Canis lupus familiaris: one gene and its partner. The protein of the gene in region 1 interacts with the protein of each later gene in a biochemical or structural test. Links are inferred from orthologs where the notes say so. Each region holds a gene or a part of one and is shown on either strand. Other genes may lie near its edges.

Region 1 (10,405 bases):
GCAAAGCATATATATCTGATCAGGGATTACTGTCCAGAATATATAATATCATGATCCTAGTGTCCTGGGATCAAGTCCCACATCGGGTTCCCCACAGGGAGCCTGCTTCTCCCACTGCCTATGTCTCTGCCTCTCTCTCTGTATCTCTCGTGAACAAATAAGTAAAAATCTTAAAAAAAAAAAAAAAAATCCACAATGAGATACCACCTCACACCCACTAGGATGATTACTATTAAACAACAACAACAACAAATGAAGTAAATGTTGATGAGCATGTGAAGAAACTGGAAGCCTCAAGCACTGATGATGGGAATGTAAAATCATGTAGCCACTGTGGCAAACAGTTTGGTGGTTCCTCAAAAAGTTAAATGTAAAAAAAAAATAAATAAAATAAAAGTTAAATGTAGAATGACCATATGATCTGGCCATTCCACTTCTGGGCATGTAACCCCAAAAACAAAAGCAGGAACTCAAACAGATACTTGTATATGTACTCATGTTCACAGCAGCATTATTCGCAATCACCAAAAGGTAGAAAAAGCCCAATTGTTCATCACCAGATGCTTGATAAATATATGTGCTATACACATACACTGGAATATTCTTCAGCCTTAAAAAGGAAGGAAATTCTGACACGTTACAAGATGGATGGACCTCGAAGACATGCTAAAGTGAAATAAGCCAGTGGTGAAAGGACAAATACGGTATTACACTTTTACAGGATACCTAGACTAGGCAACTTCACAGAGAAAAAAGTCAAAGAGAGGTCTGGGGGTGGGAGGAATGGGGAGCTATTGTTGATGAGCCCAGTTTCTGTTTGGGATGATAAAACTATCGAAGATAGGTTATGGTTACAGTCGTACAACACTGTGAATGCACTTAAAGCCACTCAGCTGTAAAATTAAAAATGTTTAAACTGGTAAATTTTATCACAATAAAAAATTGAGTTATCATACAAGCAAATTAGTGAATGGTATGGCAATTCAATTAGGATAGAAATAGTGTCAAATTTCATTTTTATTGTTACCAGAGTGAAAACTAAGCCTTCATTCAGGATTTTTCTAAATAAGGGATTATTAATTTAGGGTCTAACATGGACTCTGGGACTTATGAATACTTCAAGAATTTTTAGTGAACACATATTTTGGTGGGTAAGTGCACTGTTCAAAGATGTTCCAAAGATTTTATCAAATTCTCAATTCAGTCCTTCCTAAGAAATCAAATCATTTATTTCAGAGAATAATGGTTATAACTCCAAAACTAATTATTTACTATTAAATGATTACTTCCAATCAATATTAGAAAAATGTGCAACTAGCCCAATCACATAGCTGATAATCTGCAAGCAATAATGGATATAGTGTATAATGTAGTATAATATCCAAAGAAGTAATTGATTTCTTCAAGTACAGTTCATAAAGTTTTCAGTATTTTTTGCAGGTAGGCACGTGTGGCAGCAGAGAATGGACATAGGGCCCACCTTTACTGCTTCTCCCTGTTCATAGTTCAAGATGGCGGATGACCAATGGTTCAAGTAAAACTTCAGATATACATAGATATCAAAACACAGGTCTAACTTGGTGGCTTTACTTATTAAAATAAAACTTTTTATACAGGTAATAATAATGATTTAAAAACATACAACTGACACTCTTCCACTACTCAGAATTAAAGGTCAAATGCTGACCAGAGACTCATGGGTTCATCAGAAAACCAAGTGTGTTTGCAGCGAGCAGATGCATGGGCTGGTTAGTACCTACCTTCAGTTGGGTTTCCGTGGGGGTAGGGGCCAGAAAGGGTGGCTGTCCCACCAGCATCTCGAAGAGAATCACACCAACACTCCACCAGTCACAGAGCTGAGTGTATCCTGAAAGACAAAGTCTCACTCAATTCCACACAGGTGTGCATTCTTCTCAGAGAAGAGTTTTGCAAAATCCTCAAATGCTAATTTGCCGTTGAAGGGGAAAGCATGTTCAAGCAGCACACATGTCATGTAAAAGGAAAGCAACCGACACAAAATGTGCCTCCCTGTACGTGTGGCTCAGAATAGCAGGCTGGGTGGGACACCTGCCAGGGTGGTGACAGTCTTCATGTATTCTCTTATTTTCTACAATTAGTCTGTAATAAACACAGGATGCTTTTATAATAAGACTTTCTACTTTTAAAAGCCTATTGTTAGTAACATCACTAACCGGGATTTTCAGTTCTTAAAGAACTGAAAGACATAAACTAAAATAGGACTAACTGAAAACCAGAAAGTGCTCTACCTGCCAGTCCTGAGGGCTTCCCTGGGAGGCTTGCTAAGTCTGTTTTGGAAGAAGTTGAGGAGTATGAAGAGGAGGGCAAAGAAAACAACTGTCTCCTAAGACCTACTGCGATGCACTCAGAGAGCCAGGCCCTTCCTCACGGAGCTCCCAAGGTGCGGTAGCTGCGGCAGGGCGCCTGCAGCTTGGTCAGGCGAGCCAGCCTCACCAAGGCAGTACAACAGGCCCATTTTTCAATTTTCTCCCACTTGTCCTTCAGAGCTCTGCATCCTAGTCCCAGTCATGCTCCAGTCTTGATGTCACCTGATCCTGGCTAAGCCTGAACTGGGCCTTAAGACCTGCCAGCAGCATTTGCTGTGTTCTCCCATCACCCCATCCCCCAGCTCTTCCACCCTGGTCTGGCACTAGAGGTGGCAGGGTAACTTGGATCCCTAGTTCCAGGACTGCACACATTAGGGTGCTGGAGATACTTCTCACCTCCCACTGTGAGAGGAAGGAGACAATGAGACTTTCCTGTGCGGTAAGGCTGATGTTCACAGCAACCTCTCAAGGTAGTTATTGTTATACCTGTGGCTCTGAGTGGTTAAGTGCTTTGCTTTGGATTTCCACAGCTGACAAAGAAAACTGGAGTAAAACAACACATGTGAAAAGACAGACCACCACATGTGAAAAGACAGACCACCGATCTCTGGATTTATTATACTGTCACTAAAAGCCCTGCAACTGATCCCTGAAAGGTTCTTCTCGTACTCAATCAAATGTCGTATTTGATAAAACAGAGCATCCACACAGGAGACTAATTCTACTGAATGCTTGTAGTTGCATGTACACCACTGCCCCCAAATCTCACCTTCCAGCACTTCTGGAACAACAGGGGGAGAACTGGAGGGAAACAATACTTATGTCCTGTCATACTTCATAACCAGCTGAATATAACCATAACCAGCTGGTATAAGCAGCTAGGAACTCAGGCAAGGAAGAGTCAAAGCGGGATCCTGGACGTGTATGGCTTAGGAGACTGAGTAGTGTCCCTGTGCTCTGAGAGATGTGTCTGTCAAAGCAATGTGGAGAGATTCTCTTGGGTTCTAGATAGAAAGCCCAACCCTACACCCCAACCTAACACTTCCCAGCCAAAGGAGTGAACTAGCAAGACACGTCTAATGGTGTATGTCCTCTTTCACCCTGGAAGCAAGGGCAGTTGCAAAAGACATGAGATACATTGGAGGCTTGTTTGTTAGGGAAATAATTTCACTCTTGGGCTTCCACAAGTACAAAAATACAATGAGAACATTCAGAGTCTCAGACAGCTGGAGCTGGAGAGACTCTTAGAGGTCATCTGGCTCAGGTTTGAAGTGAAGATGGCTGCCAGTTGGGCAGCTGGCTGTGGCTGGAAGCACGCACCTTTTCGGAGGAGCACTTCCGGTGCGATGTAATTTGGGGTCCCAACCAGGGAGTGAGCCAGGCACCTCTGGTGCTGCTTCCTGGCTCTCTGCTCCAGGGTCTTCAGCCTGTCTCCACATCGACAATTAGACACGTCGTCCCAGAGGTCACTCGGCTCCATGCTATCCTGTCTGATGTGGCTCCCTTTCATCCAGGAATCAGGGGCAGTGAAGAAGGGAATAAAAAAATGAATTTCCACTATTCAACAATGCAACAAATCCACAATTTCAAAGGGGAAAGTAATTCAGTTCAGCTCCTGACATGTTAAGAGAAAGAATCCTCCCCAACTGCTCTGTAGACTCAATCCATGAGGTAACACAAACACTACGAACAACGGATGAAGCAATGACAGGAGTTGGGTGCTGTGCAGGGTGATAGTGTGATGCTGAGGGAGCAAAGCTCAGGTAACTGTGGCAATATCGTGCATAGCATGCGGGCCAAAGTCTACTACCTGTCTGACAAGACATGTTTCAAGATGAGCGTGGAAAAGCATGAGAGGAATTAAAAAATATAAACAAAAGTGACTTTAATGCCAGAATGAATGGCATTAATGGGAATGAATTAAATTAGGATTAGTTTTGAGTTGAAAAATAGAAGCATGAGGCTCGGTTGATGGAGCATGCAACTCTTAATCTCAGGGTTGAGTTCAAGCCCCACATTGGGTGTAGAGATTACATTAAAAAAAATTTTTTTTAAATAAAATAAAAGGCTGAGCCATGGTATTAAAATGACTATTTCAAGAAATTAAGCCATAAATAAGATAATGGCCAGGAGGACTGCAAAAGATGGTGTTAACCTATACCTACACTTAGAGATACCTATAGAAAAAAATCACATTAGCTATAAGAAGAGGACTCTTGGAAGGTTGTAAGGCTTAGTTTTTAAGGCTCATTTTATAAGGGCAGAGCGATGGTTCCCAACCAAGGTCCACACCCCACAGCCTACTGTCCTAAAAATACTATAATATAACTTGCATCTCCTTCAGGAAGAAAAGGATGTCATATCAAATTATAGAATAATGGAAAACAGATAATTTCAAAATGATCAGGAGCCACCAGGATGGGAAAGCATTGCCTTAGTTCAGTTATGTCTAGATGTAGAAAGTGGATGTGGCGGGCAGCCCCGGTGGCTCAGCAGGTTAGCGCCACCTTCAGCCCAGGGTGTGATCCTGGAGACCCAGGATTGTGTCCCACATCGGGCTTCCGGCATGGAGCCTGCTTATCCCTCTACCTTTCTCTGTGTCTCTCATGAATAAATAAAATCTTAAAAAAAAAGAAAAAGTGGATGTGGCACGTCTGAGACAATACCTTTCTGGTAGTATTTGGAATTGTGAGTCCATCTGAACCCAGTGCAGAGGCCAAAATCTGTCAGTTTGATGTGACCATCAAGATCTATCAAAATGTTGTCTGGCTTGATGTCTCGGTGGATGAAGCCCATTTTATGGACACTCTCAATGGCCAGAGTCAACTCTGCAATGTAGAACCGGGCCAGGTGCTCAGGGAATACCTCCATCCGGATCAGCAGGCTCATCATATCCCCCCCTGGGATGTAGTCCATCACAAAGTACAGGCTGTCCTTGTCTTGGAAGGAGTAGTAGAGTTTGACTACCCACTCATTGTCCGCCTCGGCCAGGATGTCCCTCTCAGCCTTGACATGGGCCACCTGATTTCGGTTCAGGACATCCTTCTTCCTCAGGGTCTTCATGGCATATAGGGCATGAGTGTCCACCTTACAAGCAAGGCACACTTCTCCAAAGGCACCGATCCCCAGGGTTTTGATTTTCACAAACATGGACTTGTCCATTTTGGCCCTCTTCAGCCTGTTGTAATTAGACTCCTTCTGGTAGAGGATCTTTCTCATCTGTTCCTGCTCAGCTTCACAAAGTCCAGCCTGTGGAGAAGGAAAACAAGGAAGTCACATTATTGGTCACATGATAGGAAACAGGTGGGGCGGGAGACCCTAGAACTGAGACAGTCCTAACTTAATTTTCATATTTAAGAACACTGAATAGGTCCAGTATACTAACAAGCAACTGGTTTGTTCTTTATATGCTTATGTAGACACACATCTGGAATCTAAAGGGAAGATAAAACAGGTGAAATTACTTCCTTTTTAGGCTCTAAAGGAAACCTCTATAAATAAAAATTTTTGAAAAGGGGACCACAAAGTTCCTGGAACTCTAAGAGCAATCTAATAATTGAATAGCTCAAGGAAAATGGGAACAAAGAAAAATCAATGAAAATGGGAGAGCAGAAAGAGCACAGATTTTTAGAATTTGCAATGATTGACTTTGTGTGATTTCAATTTACTGTAACATTTTAATTTAAATCATTTCCTCAATAACCTTCTCTAGCAGATTACTGTCAACTAAGGTACATTTAAAATATTTGCTGAGGGACGCCTGGGTGGCTCAGTGGTTGAGCATCTGCCTTCGGCTCAGGGCATTATCCTGGAGTCCCGGGATCCAGTCCTACATCAGGCTCCCTGCACAAAGTCTGCTTCTCTCTCTGCCTATGTCTCTGCTTCTCTGTCTCAGTGTCTCTCATGAATAAATAAATAAAATATTAAAACATATATATGTATTTGCTGGGTGTCTGGGAGGCTGTCGGTTAAGCATCTGCCTTGGGCTCAGGTCATGATCTCCGGGTCCTGAGATGGAGTCATGCATTGGGCTCCCTGCTCAGTGGGGAGTCTGCTTCTCCCTTTCCCTCTGGCTTTTGCCTCTCCCCCTGCTGTGCTCCCTCTGTCCCTCTCCCAAATAAATAAAATCTTAAAAAAAATATTTGTTAATTATAGAATTAAAGGATAAATAGATTGTTACCAGATATATTTTTCTTTATAAATCCCACAATTTCAATTTATAAAATCTCAAACTTTGTTTCTACCCTTTCAAAGTGTTTAAGTACCAGTTACTAAAATTTGACAAATTTTGTTAATAAATAAGGACTGACCCTAAAAATCGATCTGGCAATCTGCCTGTTGGGGGAATCATGCACAGTGTTCACTGCTCACCTGCAGAGTCAGTGTGAACGTGCAACAGATCCAGCAACATCTGTGACATTGCCAAGCTGTTCGCCTATAACCCACCATCGCCCCGTGAGACTAATTGTTTGTAATAAAGGTGCATAAAGCAGAAACAGAAATGGGATTCTGCTGTAATTCCCATTACCACTTTAGGAAAGAACCAGGGCCCAATGATAAGGACATAATGAGAAATTACTTTTGCCATTTCCTGCTCCAGCTGCAACCTTCGGTTGACCTTCTGCTGGTAGGTTTTTATGACGTTTTCCACGTGCTGCTCCATGAAGAACTTAAACGCGTATGGGGAGTAGCTCTTGATGCGGGACTCCCTCTTCTCTTCATCTCTGCTGTTTTTCCGAACAGGAACAGGAGAGGTCTGAATCTGCTTTTTATCCTTCCCTGCTTTGTCCCCTTTGGCGCTCTTGTGGCTCTTGTCAGTCTTGTCGGCAGGCTCTGCAGCCTGGCTCCCACGGAGGCTCTGCTCCAGGCCCGCGCACAGGCTGTCCACATCGTACTGTTCGGACTTACTGCGGAGTAGCAGGTGTTTGGGGTAGGGCGGGGGTGGGCACCTCAGGTCTGGGCTGCCATAGTCAACATCCAGCGGGTACGCACTGGCGCCCCCCAGGGGCAGAGGGTGCTCATCCTTGGCGTCCAGACCCTCGGCTCCAGAGGGGGTGGGCGCTGGCACCCAGGCTGGGTGGGAGGGCCCCACAGCCGTCTGAGGCTCGGGCCGCATCACCCTCACACTCTTCACTGGGTGCAGGATGTGGGCGGCTGTCACAGCTGTGATGGTGTTGGGGGAGGGCATGGACGGCTCTGTCTTGCTGGGCACTCCCGCCCGGATGGGCACGGCCACTGGCTGCTGGTGGTTGTTGAAGGAGTTGGTTCTGCTAGGGACAGGGCCTTCAGGCAGGAATGCCACGTGCTGGCGGGCTGGTGCCTCCAGGCCTGGCTTCTGAAGAGAGTCACGGCGGGACAGGGTAGAGGACTGCCACTGCTGGACAGGAGGGCTGCTCAGGTCATATAGGTCCACGTTGAGGCTGTTTCTGGAGGGTGTCATCAGACTCTGGGGGGGGCTGTCGCTGGTGAACACCTGGCCCCTGGAGCCCAGCATGTGCACCTGGTGGGCCTGCTTGTGGTGCGTGTGGGGCATATACAGACCTGTCGGTGTTCCCGTGGGCGGGAACGCATGGCCAGCCCCAGGCTGCCCACCTGGGCCCTTGGCAGCCAAGTTTGCATAAGCTCCGGCCTCCTTGTTTTGGAAGGAGGGGCTGCGCTGGATGCCATAGCCCAGCGGCTCCCCAGGCACCAGCAGGTGTGGCCTGTAGTGGGGGCCTTGCAGCGGGAGGGCTTGGCCCCCAGGGCCAGCCACTGGGAAGCTCATGCCCGCGGCCTCCATGTTTGCGGCATAGCCTTTGGGCTGGTGCTGATGGCCACTGGGCACACTGTGAGTGCTTCCAGTGAAGAGAAAGTCCATGTACTGGCGAGGCACCTCCTCCAGTGTGCTGCCACCCTCGTAGGCTGCCGCACTCATCTGATGGTAGGGTGGGAAAGGGTCACCTGTTCCTTCAAAGCTTGGCCTCCGTGGTACAGAGGCTGGTACGGTTCCCTTTCCTGCAGAGAACAGAAGAGGGACATGGCATTAGTGGGGAGCCTGTGCAGCTGGTCTGCCTCTTGCAGACTGGCCCCGCCTGCCGGCAGTGTCCTTGGGGCTGGCCCTGCTGCAGGCTCTTCCATGAGCCCAGGCCCTCTGGAAGGCCCTTTGACAAAGGCTGAACTCTGCTGTGGGCAGATCCTGGGGAACTTCTGGGTCACAGGCTCTGCCCTGCCCCCCGAGGTCCCTCACAGGGATACCTGGCAGAGCCGAGAACCTCTACAGACATCAACTAGTGCAGAAGCACAGACAAACAATGACTGTCTTCCTGGGCTAAGAAGATGCATCAATGAATACACATCAGAGGCAAATGTAGAAGAAAATCATAACAGATTTGGGCCTGCATTTCCCTTTGGGGCTCTGCCCCAAGACAGACTCTGGGACTCTAAGAATCTTGACAGGGATAGCCGGCAGGCAAGGGTTTAAGGGTCTTCTATCAACAAGAAAACAAGAGTTTGTGCCCTCTTAACAAAGATACAATTTCTCACTCAACAGAGGAAGGGAGTTTTATCAAAGATCAAAGACAAAATAAGGAAAGCCCTTTTTGCTAACTATCCTAAATCCCTTATCATGCCCAGGGACCTCAGGTACCAAAAATTGTCCCTCCCATTTGCTCTATCCTCAAAAAGGAACATTCACTGACAGCCAATGAGGCAGAGCATTTGGTGCTGGTGCCTCTGGCCCTTCCCAGGGGATACTGAGGGGTTGTCTAGGCCACTGCCTACGGCCTCCAGGCTGGAGAGACGTCTTCCAGCCTGCTCTGAGGCTACAGTGTGAGAAATCACTGTATTTTAAAGTCAATGAAATAGGGGCACCTGGGTGGCTCGGTCGGTTAAGCAACTTCGTTTGGCCCCAGTCATGGCCCCAGTCATGGTCCCAGGGTCCCAGGATTATCCCTGCACTGGGCTCCCTGCTCAGTAGGGAGTCTGCTTCTCCCTCCTCCTCCTGCTGTACTCACTCTCTCTCAAATAGATAAAATCTTTTTTAAAATCTTAAAAAAAAAAATCAAGGAAATAAACCTCCCTTTTCAAAGACTCCCTCGCAGGCCCAAGAGAAAGTAAAAAGAACATTTTAAAACTCACTCTCTGCTAGGTTGCCTAACTTTACTATCCAGTGAGTTCTTCAAACTCCATAAAAAAAAATATGTATACAACCCCCGCCCCCCAGAAAGTACCAGAGGCTATTTCAGGACCCAGGTAATTCCCATGATTTGCCACCTGTTGCCTCTCTTTTCAGGGCCCAAATGCAGAGCAGGGCAGGCCCAGCTCACCAGTAAGGGCAGTGAGTGCCAACAGATAATGCACTGACCAGGGCCACACTGGACCTCACTTCCTGCAAACCGTCTTCACCCACAGTGCAGCAGGTCTGAGCTCACCTGGGGAGGTCTGCTTAATGACTCGCACTATCTGCTCATTCCTGGGGTCCAGGTAGCCCATCTTGCTGATGTACTCCAGGGCGGCCTCGATGCTCCGGCTGCCAGTCTGCTTGAGGGCCCTGCCTGCCATCTCCTGGGAGGAAAGCACACAGATGAATGGGAAGTCTCAATGTGTGTCATCTTGACACAAAGCCATGCAGGGACTTCTATTCTCACCCTGCTCAGAACTGTTGTGATATCTGCCTCTGTGCCTGCTGGGGTCTGTGACGTGCCGCAGACAAGTCTCAGAACGAGCACAGTTGGCCACATGTCCTCAGGTGCTTCATGACAAAAGCCTAACACACATTAACCCATAGGCTATTTATTGTATGTCACAAACACACAGGAATTTTGATGGGTGGACCTGAAAGAATCCTAAGTTCTGCTTCTCCTTAGAAAACTTCTGTGATTGGACTGATAAATCCTGCTTTGGGATTGGGGGAGACTGGGTGACGGGCACTGAGGTGGGCACTTGACGGGATGAGCACTGGGTGTTATTCTGTATGTTGGCAAATTGAATACCAATAAAAAAAATTTTATTTAAAAAATAAAAAATAAAAGAACCAATGTGATAACCCCCCCACCCCCCCAAAAAAAAATCCTGCTTTGGGA
Region 2 (10,505 bases), on another chromosome or scaffold:
AGGTAACACTTTGCTATGTTTATCCTCATTGGGCATATACATTTCTTTTTGGAAGCCCATCTTATGGCTTCAAATACTTTTTTTAAAGATTGTATTTATCGGGCAGAGAGCCCGGTGTGGGACCCGATCCTGGGGCTGCGGGATCACACCCCGACCCAAAGGCAGATGCTCAACCGCCCAGCCACCCAGGCATCCCATTCAAACACTTTTTTTTTTCAAACTATCAAACTCCACTCATTGGGCCAGAGACTCGTGTGTTAGGAGTAGACTTGCCCCTCCTGTAGCACACTATCTACACTGTGTGTTCATCGGCCAGCCAGTGGCCTCAACTCCAAGCTCTAACAACGTGGGGTTTCAAATACGATTTACTTACTGAGGTCTGTATTCATGCCACTAGTTCAGATCTTGACCCCCGCCCCTGACATGCTTTGCACTGTAGGCAAAACTCTACCTGGTACCACTACTCTGCTGTCTAATGGACATCTCAAAGCAAACATATCTAAAATGGAACTTTTAGTTTTACTCCCAAATTGTGACTCGTATCTTCCCTATTTCAGTAAATGGGTATTTCCATCAATTGCCAAAGCCAAAATAATAGTAGTAATCTTTGTCTCCTTCATTTCCCCAACCTCCACAATCAATCGATCACCAAGTGCTGTTGGTATTACCTTGAGATTATTAATTTCTTCTATTATTGATACTACACGAAATCAAATCACAACTGAGAAACAACTGGACTATTAGAATAGTCTTCTGGTTTCCCTTCTGACATGCTGGCCCCTTCTGGTCCATTCTCCACAAGAAGAGAGTGATCTTTCCAAAATGTTAATCACAGATCATGAACTGATAATTGCTGAAGCTATGTGATGGATTCATTATATTAATTTCTTCCCCTTTGTATATGTTTGAAATTATCAAATTTGAAAAACCGAAATGTTATTTGGATTATTTTATTTTACTTCTCTGCTGACTTCTCCAAATGTCTTGCCTAGGCCTGTGAACCCCAGCCTGCCCTCGGACATGTCCAGCTTTATCTGATGCCATTCTTCTTGCTCACTTGCCCAGGTTATAACCTTTCAGTTTTAAGAACTCCTTAAGCTCTTTCTTATCTTAGAGCATTTGTGCTTGTTATTTCCTCTACCAGAAAATGCTCATCTGCTCGCTCTTCGCAAGTCTGGCTCCTTCTCTGTTTCAGGTCTTAGCAAAAATGTCACCTCCTTAGGGAGGCTTTTCTTAGCTCTCCCTTCACTGGTACTATCACATTATTCTATTTACTTCCTATCTTACCACAATTTATAACTATTGTTTGTTTATATTTATATATATATAATTACACTTACTTGTAAATTTGAACGAAACTTTTTATTTTAACTTTTGTAAAATATTTTATTTATTCATTTGAGAGAGAGCACAAGCAGTGGGAGCAGCAGAGGGAGAGGGAGAAGCAGGCTCCCCGCTGAGCAGGGAGCCCAACATGAGGCTCAATCCCAGGGCCCCATGATTATGACCTGTGCCAAAGGCAGACGCCCAACCAACTGAGCCACCAGGTGCTTCTGAATGAGTCTTTTTTTTTTTAAAGGACATTTTTTAAAAAATTTTTATTTATTTGTGATAGTCACAGAGAGAGAGAGAGAATGAGGCAGAGACACAGGCAGAGGGAGAAGCAGGCTCCATGCACCGGGAGCCCGACGTGGGATTCGATCCCGGGTCTCCAGGATCGCGCCCTGGGCCAAAGGCAGGCGCCAAACCGCTGCGCCACCCAGGGATCCCCTGAATGAGTCTTTTAAAAAGATATTTGAAGGTATATCCATACATGTTCTGTTCTATTCTTGTTATAGTGTCAATTCTTTGAAAAATTGGTAAATACAAATTTTAATCATCTTCCTTCATAAACAAAGACTTATTTTGGGGGAAGATTTTATTTATTTATTTGAGATAGGAAGAGAGCAGGAGAGAGAGAGTGCATGAGCAGGGGTTGGGGGCTAGGGGCAGAGGGAGAGGGAGAGCAGGCTCTCCACTGAGCAAGGAGCCTGATGCGGGGTTCGATCCTAGGATCCTGGGATCACAATCTGAACAGAAGGCAGATGCTTAACTGACTGTGCTACCCAAGTGCCCACATAAACAAATATTTATAAATAAAATAAGATTTTGATCAGGAGAGTAACTTCTTGAAATTTTAAGAGGAGAGTAATATGAAATATGAATTGGTGAAGGTGAAATTGTCATTAGAAACGTCTATTTGAATATACCCTTTATTTGATTCTAAATTTTCCAGTGCTTTTGAAGCTGAATAATTTTGTGACAGCCACAGTATGATTTAAATGTTTAATCTCTGGAATTATATTCTGTATTATTAACATGACACCTCTATCATTTCTAAGACCAATATATTTAAATTTTATCAGGCGTTAATTTCAGGCAGCTCTCCTTGAGATATGAAAAGAAGAACTCAGCAGGTAATTTGGCAGATTCTCTCCTCTGCTGATCATTATTCTGATTCAGTGTCATAGAATTCATCTAAACTGTGTTAGAACAAAAGCAAAGCCACATAAGCCACCTACCAAGTCAGTGAGCAGATGAGAACTGTCTGCCAGTCCTTTGAATGAAACCCCTGACATAACAGATTTTAGAACTGGAAGATATCTTACAGATCATGTAATAATCCAAGGCTCTCATTTTAACAGGGGTGAGACGGTTGTTTGAACAGGTCAACTGATTTACTCCCCCCAAACATAATTTCCTAATCTGGTTAATTCAAGGTCTTACTTTCAGAAGACCCTTAAGGAATGATATAGTAAATTAGTAGCACCAAATCAAGATGTGGGCTTTTGTCGTAAATCCATTATCTTCACTATATTAAGATGGATTCTTCCCCTCTTCTTTCCTGCATCTTCTGAGTCTTTAAGTCTCAAATTATTCCAGTGACCTCTGCTTCTTTGGAGTTGGTGTCAAGATTCCAAGATTTTCTTCTTTTTTTTAAATTTTTATTTATTTATGATAGTCACAGAGAGAGAGAGAGAGAGAGAGAGAGAGAGAGAGGCAGAGACACAGGTAGAGGGAGAAGCAGGCTCCATGCACCGGGAGCCCGATGTGGGATTCGATCCCGGGTCTCCAGGATCGCGCCCTGGGCCAAATGCAGGCGCCAAACCCCTGCGCCACCCAGGGATCCCTATTTTCCTCATTTTTAAAACATGGTTTGATTTGCCAAAGTAATAGTGCACAAACGCAACAGAATACACTGCATATTAGTACTTCTTTTAAGTAACCAACCCAAGGTGGGTTAATAGCTGCACATTATTTAAGTTTTGTTCAGATACTTTGAAAATTTACTTGTCGATTTTTTTTTAAGATTCAAAAAAGTCACTTATTTGACAGAGAGAGAGAAAGCATAAGCAGGGGGAGCAATAAAGGGAGAGAGAGAAGCAAGCTGTCCCCTGAGCAGGGAGTGCAACAGGGGCTGGGTCCCGGGATCCTGAGATCAGCACCTGAGCCAAAGGCAGGCACCTCACTGAGCCACCCCGGCGCCGCTTACTTGTGATTTGGTGCTTGCTGCGCGTAGAGATGCACATGTCATGTGCAATAAATGGGTCCTCAAATTGATAACGTTGGGGGGGGGGGGGTTGGCTCTCGGCGGATGCTGATTCAGCAAGCATTTACGGGGCCCAGGACCACTGTAACCGCTGGGCGCTGCACGAAGCATCCTGGAGGCCGGACATGGCTCAGTCTCCCTTGCAGAGCTCCGCATTTCGGAGTCAAGGGTTCTGGGCCAAACTCTGGGATCTGCTCAGGAACGCTCCGGGCACCAGGGCCGAGGACAGCCTAAGCTGCCTGCGGAGGCAGTGACGGCCCCGGGCGGCCCCCGGTTCAGGGCTCTCAGGCGCGACCTCACGATGGCAGGGACCCTGAGCCCCACGCAGACTCCCGGGCTCCGGCGGAGCCACGCCCAACCTGTTCCAAACACGTTGCCCTCCTCGGGTCTCTAAGGCGGCAGGGGCGGCCCCGCCTTCGTCATCCCTGGCACATCCGCAGCCGGCGGGTCTCCGCGGGCAGATCCGTCCCTCGCTGCAGAGCCCCGGCATCCCGGGGTCGGCGCTCGCTTCCCTCCTGGCTGCTGGAGCCCCGCGGGGCAGCGCCGCGCCCCCGACCCGGTGCACGGGCCGGTAGCGGCGGGCGGGCTCCGCGGGAGGAGGAGGGTGGGCGCGCGCCGCTCTCGCGAGAGCTCGCGGGGTGAGGGCCGCGGGGGGCGGGGCGAAGCGGGAGGAGGGGGAGGGGAGGGGGCGGCTCTGCGGCGGCGGCGGCGGCTGTGCTCCCGGGGGCGGGCGTGCGGCCTTTCCCCGCCTCCCGGAGGGCGATCCGCGCCGGGCGCCTCTCCCTCCCGCCCCCTCTGCCTGCCGTTGGAACTAGCAGAGCCGAGCTGGTCGCGCCGCGGAGAAGCCGGCGCCGCCTTCCTCCTGCTCCCGCGCGCCTGCCGCCCCGAGGCCTAGAGACGCCGCCCAGCCCGCGCCGCGGCCGACATGAGCTTCTTGTTGTGAGTCGCCGGGCCCCGCGCGCCGGCTTTGTTCGGGCGGCCCCGGGGGGGGGGGCGGGGGCTCCCCCGCGGTCCCGGCCCCCCTGCAGCCCCGCAGCCCCCGAGCAGGCTCTGTCCGCCCGGCCCTGCACCCCGCGGCTCCGAGCCTCCCTGCCCCTTGCCCGGGGCTCGCGCGCTGCGCTGGGCTGCGCTGCGGGGACACCTGCTGCCCCTCCCCTCCCCTCCCCGGCCCGTGCGTCCTGCGCCGCCAGCTGCCGCCCGCCGCCTCCTTCTGGGTCCCGAGCATAGAAGAGTGGGCGCTGCGCTTTTTTTTTTTTTCCCCCCTGTGGCCTCAGCGCCCTTTTAACTTTCCCCTTAGGTTTTAGGAGTGGAAGTCGGGGCGCCGAGCCCCGTGGAGGGGACACCCTTAACGAGGCTGCTTTCGGGTCCGGATGCCCTGGCGACAGCCCGAGGCCTCGGGGTCTGCAGAGCCGCCTGCCTCCCCCCGCCCCTCCCCGGCGTGCGCCCCCGGGAAGTCCGGGCCTCATCCTTTCAGACAAGCACCCATCAGTCGGGCTTGATTAGGTCCGCGGGGAGTTGTTTTGCGAAGGATTTGAAAATGCCAATAACGTCACGTTTAGGACTGGTCGTTATTTCATTTATTCGTCCTTTATTGTGGACGATTTTAGGAGGGATGGGCAGACCAACGGGATGGGCAAATGGGAGTATGGGGGCAGCAGACAGCCTCAGGTCGTCAGCAAACAGGACTTGACACCCTCGGAATTCCTCTTTTGAAGGCTTCGTTGTGATTCACCCACGTTTAGTCTGTGGTTAGAGAAGCTCATAAAGACTCGGAGGCTGAAACTTGCACCTTATACTCCTTTACTGCCGTGGACGGGATAGCATTTTCCTTCACAACAATGACCCTAGCAGTTGTGTCCCGATTTCCTTCTTTCCCCACCTGTAATTTTTTAGTCATCAACATTGGCACTTGGATCCTGAGAATTTAATTGACCCTTAATTTCACGTGCTCATACGTGGGATTTTAATCGTTTTCCGGGCATTATGCAAAGCTGTGATCACAGAACATTAACTGGCAGGTGGTGGGCTTGATATTTCTCGTGTGCACAGGAGCCCTGCCTTGAGTCACCCTGCGGAACACATGTGAGTTGGTGAAATCTCTTTCTTAGGCTCATCCTGGAAGTTGATCTGAGTGTGTCATACAGGTGTGCTACATGAGAGGACTGGGTGACTTTATGAAGGTCTCTGCTTCCAGTTTTAGCTTGAATCCAGGTATCCAGGTGTCTCAGCTTGAAGCTTCTCATCTAGACTATGTTTTACATTGCTTGTATTTGATTTCTTCAAGAATGTAGAAGCTGTCTTCAAAATAGCAATGTGGATGATGTCCATGACTGCTGCCGATGGGCTTGTGTCTCTTGGAACTCAGAGCTAAATTGGTTGAAGCAGGGAAGAACCATATTTGGCTGAAACTAGGGGATGTCTCGAGAAGGTCTTGGTGATATTTTCTGAATACAAATAGAATAGTATCCTATTTTTACATGGCTCAGTATTTTATAGTTACTGAAATGCAGTGCTTAAGTTCATTTCTTCTGAAGCATACAAGTTACATAAGAAAAACCCTGCCATAACAAATGTGTGTATATATATATGTGTATATATATATACCACATTATAGGTTTGTACTGTCTGGAGCACAATTTTTCAGTTAGGTTTCATGTAGCAGTTAATACATTCCCAATATATTTGGCCCTCATGCCTGACAATCCAAAAAAGTTAATCCAACCTTATTGGTTTTGTTTTTTGTCTACCAGTAGTTTCAAATCTAAAGTGAAGACCTCATGGATAGAAGTAATTATTATCAAAGTGAAAGAACAAAGTTTTGATTATTTCATCTATATATTATTTGGTATATCTTCCTGAAGATATACACCTATTTCTGTACCAGTAGGTGAGCAGGAAAATTAAAAGTTGCAAGTTAGGAAGTAAATGTAAACATTTTCTTCTAGCTCTTGGAAGCCTACTTGTAAGGCTACTGTAAATGATGGAGCCGAGGAAATAAGGGCAATGTGAGATAGGTTTATGAAGATGCTGACTCATAACTCCTGACGGCTTTAAGTCAGAAGGAGAGAATTATTGGTTAAGAAAATCGTTTATTGTGCCAGGTACTGATGTAGGCACCGGGTATCATTTATGAACAAAACAGACAAAAATTCCTGTATTAGTTCAGCTTATGTTTTGGTAAGTGACCATAAACACTGAATACCAGTAAATTATATTGCATTGTAGGAGGATGTAAGTGCCATGGAACAAAGTAAAGCAGGGTAAAGAGGTTTTTTTGGAAGGGGAGATGAGGTAGATTAGGTAATCCCCAAACGGTACCCAGATAATCAGCAGCAATGATACCTTTTATAGCTTTTGTGCAAATGCTCAGAATAAATTGTACAGCATCTATAGATATGACTGGGACAAAGCTTTGGTTGTGCTACACATTGGCCTTTATGTATCTTCAGATTAATAAGCTAAACTCCCAAATGTACATAGGGAAACTTCACAGGAACCTAATTTAACTTTGTAGTCTCAAATCTTTAAACATCCTCAGCACCTGCTGTGTGCTAAGCATTGTGCGCAATGTGGAACTCCAGAGTGGTAGACAGTTTATAAATAGTCATCTGTAATAGATGCAATACAGTCATGGAGGTCTAAAGAATATGGAATAATTTGCTTTATTTGGGCTGGAGGAAGGCTTCTTGAAATAAGTGATTGATAGTTAATGGAATGTATAACAAGGGTTCTCTAAAAGGGTGTGGGAAACTAGAAGATTTCAGTCGCAGGAAACATCACAGAAACGTGAATTTGCTTGTGAATTGTCCATTTTCAGGTTTGTCCAGGAGGCTATGGAATTGTGGAGCTAGATGGGATCTATAGTAACATAGCTTACTCAACCTCTTTTGGGTAAAATGGCAAAATCACTGACATCAGGTTACCGGCCTAATTATTGGCTTGTGTTGAATTGAAACACAGGCCTTTTAGGGTTTTTCCTCTCTTGGCATTTTATGCACATAACATTCAGGGAAATTTAGGATCAGAGTGAGTTCTCAATGTTCATTCAGAGTACGTTGAGTGTTTTCTGTTTCTAGCATTTTGTAATTGCTGGTCTCTTCTGACCAATAGAATTTCACTGAAATATTTGACTTGGAAAAGACCAAGATATTATTTCCTAATGTAGGGCTACTTGATTGGAACAGAGTTAAAACAAATATTTGTAGTTAACTTTAAAATGGAAGTCTGGAGGAAAGGTGGTTTAGGGATGTGAATGAATATAAACCAGGTCTGTTTCTGTATAGGGAGAATCAGATCTGTTGGGAAAGGAAGGAAATACTGAGCATTATTCTAGGTAAATTCAATTTATCTTTTCCAAAATAATAGCAATTTAGGAAAGGAGATGTAGCTGTGTTTATATGTGTCTCTGTCTCCCTCTTCTACCTCTTTCAGTCCTGCCCCCCCTCACCAAAAATAACCCCAGCATCTTTGTTTTAAGGCAAATAAGCTGACTGACTGGAGTGCTTCAGCATCTTCACCTATAAAGGAAACTAATATTAATAATAGTAATAATAAATATTGCTAAGTGTTTACCATGTGCCAGGCACTCAGTGCTCTAAATGATTAACTTAGTTCAATAACTAGCAGAAGAAGAAACTAGCAAAGAGAGGTTAAATAATTTGTTTAAAATTATGGGGCCAGTGATAATAGCAGGGGTCTGAATTTTAGCAGTCTAAATCCAACAGTCCTGCCTCATATCTATAATTGATAAAATTATATAAAAAGATGGGATCCCTGGGTGGTGCAGCGGTTTAGCGCCTGCCTTTGGCCCGCCCAGGGCGCGATCCTGGAGACCTGGGATCGAATCCCACATCGGGCTCCCGGTGCCTGAAGCCTGCTTCTCCCTCTGCCTGTGTCTCTGCCTCTCTCTCTCTCTCTGTGTGACTATCATAAATAAATAAAAATTAAAAAAAAATTATATAAAAAGATAGTATTCAAAAGGCCTTGTTTTTAGAAGTCTCCCATTCCCAGGTATTAATAGCTCATACTCCTGGACTGTTTGCTAAGGGTCACCAAGAATATAATAGTGGAAGAAAAAAATAGAAGCTTTTAAATTTAAATAATACTTATAATTATTTTTGACTTCCATCTTTTATAAAAGATTTTATTTATTTATTTATGAGAGACACAGAGAGGCAGAGACAGGCAGAGGGAGAAGCAGGCTCCCTGTGGGAGCCTGATGCGGGACTCAGTCCCAGGACCCCAGGTTCACGAACTGAGCCAAAGGCAGATGCTCAACCAGAGTCATCCAGGTGCCCCTTGACTCCCATTTTTAATGTAAAAATAATACACATGTTGCAGAAATCACAATATAGTGCTAAGAAAAGCAAGAAAATAAGTCACTCATAATCATTACACCTTCCAAAATAACTATTATTTGTATTCTGTGATATAGTTTCCTCATCTTTCCTGCCACGTTTCTACTACATATAGACCAGATTTTCCATTTGGGAATTTTTTTATGTCAGCAAACATCATTCTGCAATATGATTTTGAATGGCTGTTGACCAAGTGTTAACAGTTTTGTTTTCTGACAGCCTGATTTACTATGTTATGCTTTTTTTGAGGGGTGGGGGAGTAGATTAAGTGTGGTCATCTTTTAGAACTACAGTTTGAGAATTGTAGATACCTGACTGGGTTTAGTTTACTTTTCCTCTCTAATATAGAATTGCTTTTGCTTTACATTACTGAGTGCAAAATAATTACTATGTGATCACTTTTATCATTATTGATTTTTTTTTTTTTTTGCCCTCATAGTTGCAGAGTTTTTGTACCTTTGGAGTGTCTAATATACAAAAGCACATGTAGTACTTCTTCTCAGCTGTATATTTGATTATGAGGTATTGGGACAGAATAGCTACGTGTACTTGAAAAAATGGTACCTTTTAGGAGCGTTAAGTCTTATAGAGAAATTTTTTTAACTCTTCTTTCCACATTTCCGTTTTTTAAAATTGAGATATAATTGATATATAACATTATGTTAGCTTCAAGAGTACAACTTGCATTTTTGTTTTGTATCAATCATCTAACTTAAGGCCATCCTTCATAGCTCATTTAGTAAAAAGTGTAGCTGTGAAACCTGTTCATTTGTAGAAAGTGGTTTTTAAATTTTATTTTGAAAGATTTTCAGATTTTTAGAAAAGTTGCAAAAAATAGCCCAAAGAATTCCTACATAGTTTTTATCCAGAGACCCCATTTAGTGTGATCCAATAATGTTATCCTCAGCAAAAGGGTCCAGTCATGACTCACCCAATTTTGTTCTTCAGCCTTCTTCCAACTGAAATATTTCCTTAAGTTTTCCCTTGCCTTTCAGGACCTTGATATTTTTGAGGATTATAGGCCAGTTATTTTGTGGAATATCCTTCAGTTTGAGTTTGTCATGTTTTCTTGTGGTTAGACCTGGTTATGCATTTGGGGCAAAAATATTACAGAAGTGTTACATAGGTTTATCTTATAGCTTCTTATGGTGCATTTAACATATGTTTGCCCATGATTGGAAGTGATCCTTTGATTAAAGCGTCTACAGAGATTCTCCAGTGTGACATTATTATATATGTTTTTTCCTTTGAGTAATTAATATTTTGTGGGGAGGTGTTTTGAGACTGTGGAACTGTCTCATTCCTCATTTTGTTTTCACCCACTAGTTTTAGTGTTCTTTGATGTTTCTTGTCTAACTTATTACTACTTATTACATTGATGGCTGTGTTCTAATTCTGTCAGGCTTTTACATTTATTTGACATTTTTACTGAAGAATTTTATCTATCAGTGGAGGCATTTTGATTCCTATTGTATTTAATGATTTATAACTATAATTATTTATGTTGATGCTCCTAATGTTTCAGCTTTGGCTAGTGGGAGCCCTGTTCAGTCTGGTTT

Evidence for each region.
Region 2: the proteins of LATS2 (region 1) and MOB1B form a complex in vitro, tested with the Homo sapiens proteins (2 studies listed by BioGRID). The link is inferred for Canis lupus familiaris from reciprocal best matches to the Homo sapiens genes LATS2 and MOB1B.

Annotation. Positions count from the first base shown.
Region 1 is NC_049246.1:17,234,853-17,245,257, reverse strand, and holds part of LATS2 (serine/threonine-protein kinase LATS2), read right to left. Parts: intron 9,888-10,405; coding exon 9,755-9,887; intron 8,340-9,754; coding exon 6,925-8,339; intron 5,595-6,924; coding exon 5,012-5,594; intron 3,849-5,011; coding exon 3,666-3,848; intron 1,868-3,665; coding exon 1,761-1,867; intron 1-1,760. UniProt on the Homo sapiens protein: Negative regulator of YAP1 in the Hippo signaling pathway that plays a pivotal role in organ size control and tumor suppression by restricting proliferation and promoting apoptosis.
Region 2 is NC_049234.1:61,200,229-61,210,733, forward strand, and holds the start of MOB1B (MOB kinase activator 1B), read left to right. Parts: upstream 1-4,382; 5' UTR 4,383-4,514; coding exon 4,515-4,528; intron 4,529-5,128; exon of another isoform or gene 5,129-5,671; intron 5,672-10,505. UniProt on the Homo sapiens protein: Activator of LATS1/2 in the Hippo signaling pathway which plays a pivotal role in organ size control and tumor suppression by restricting proliferation and promoting apoptosis.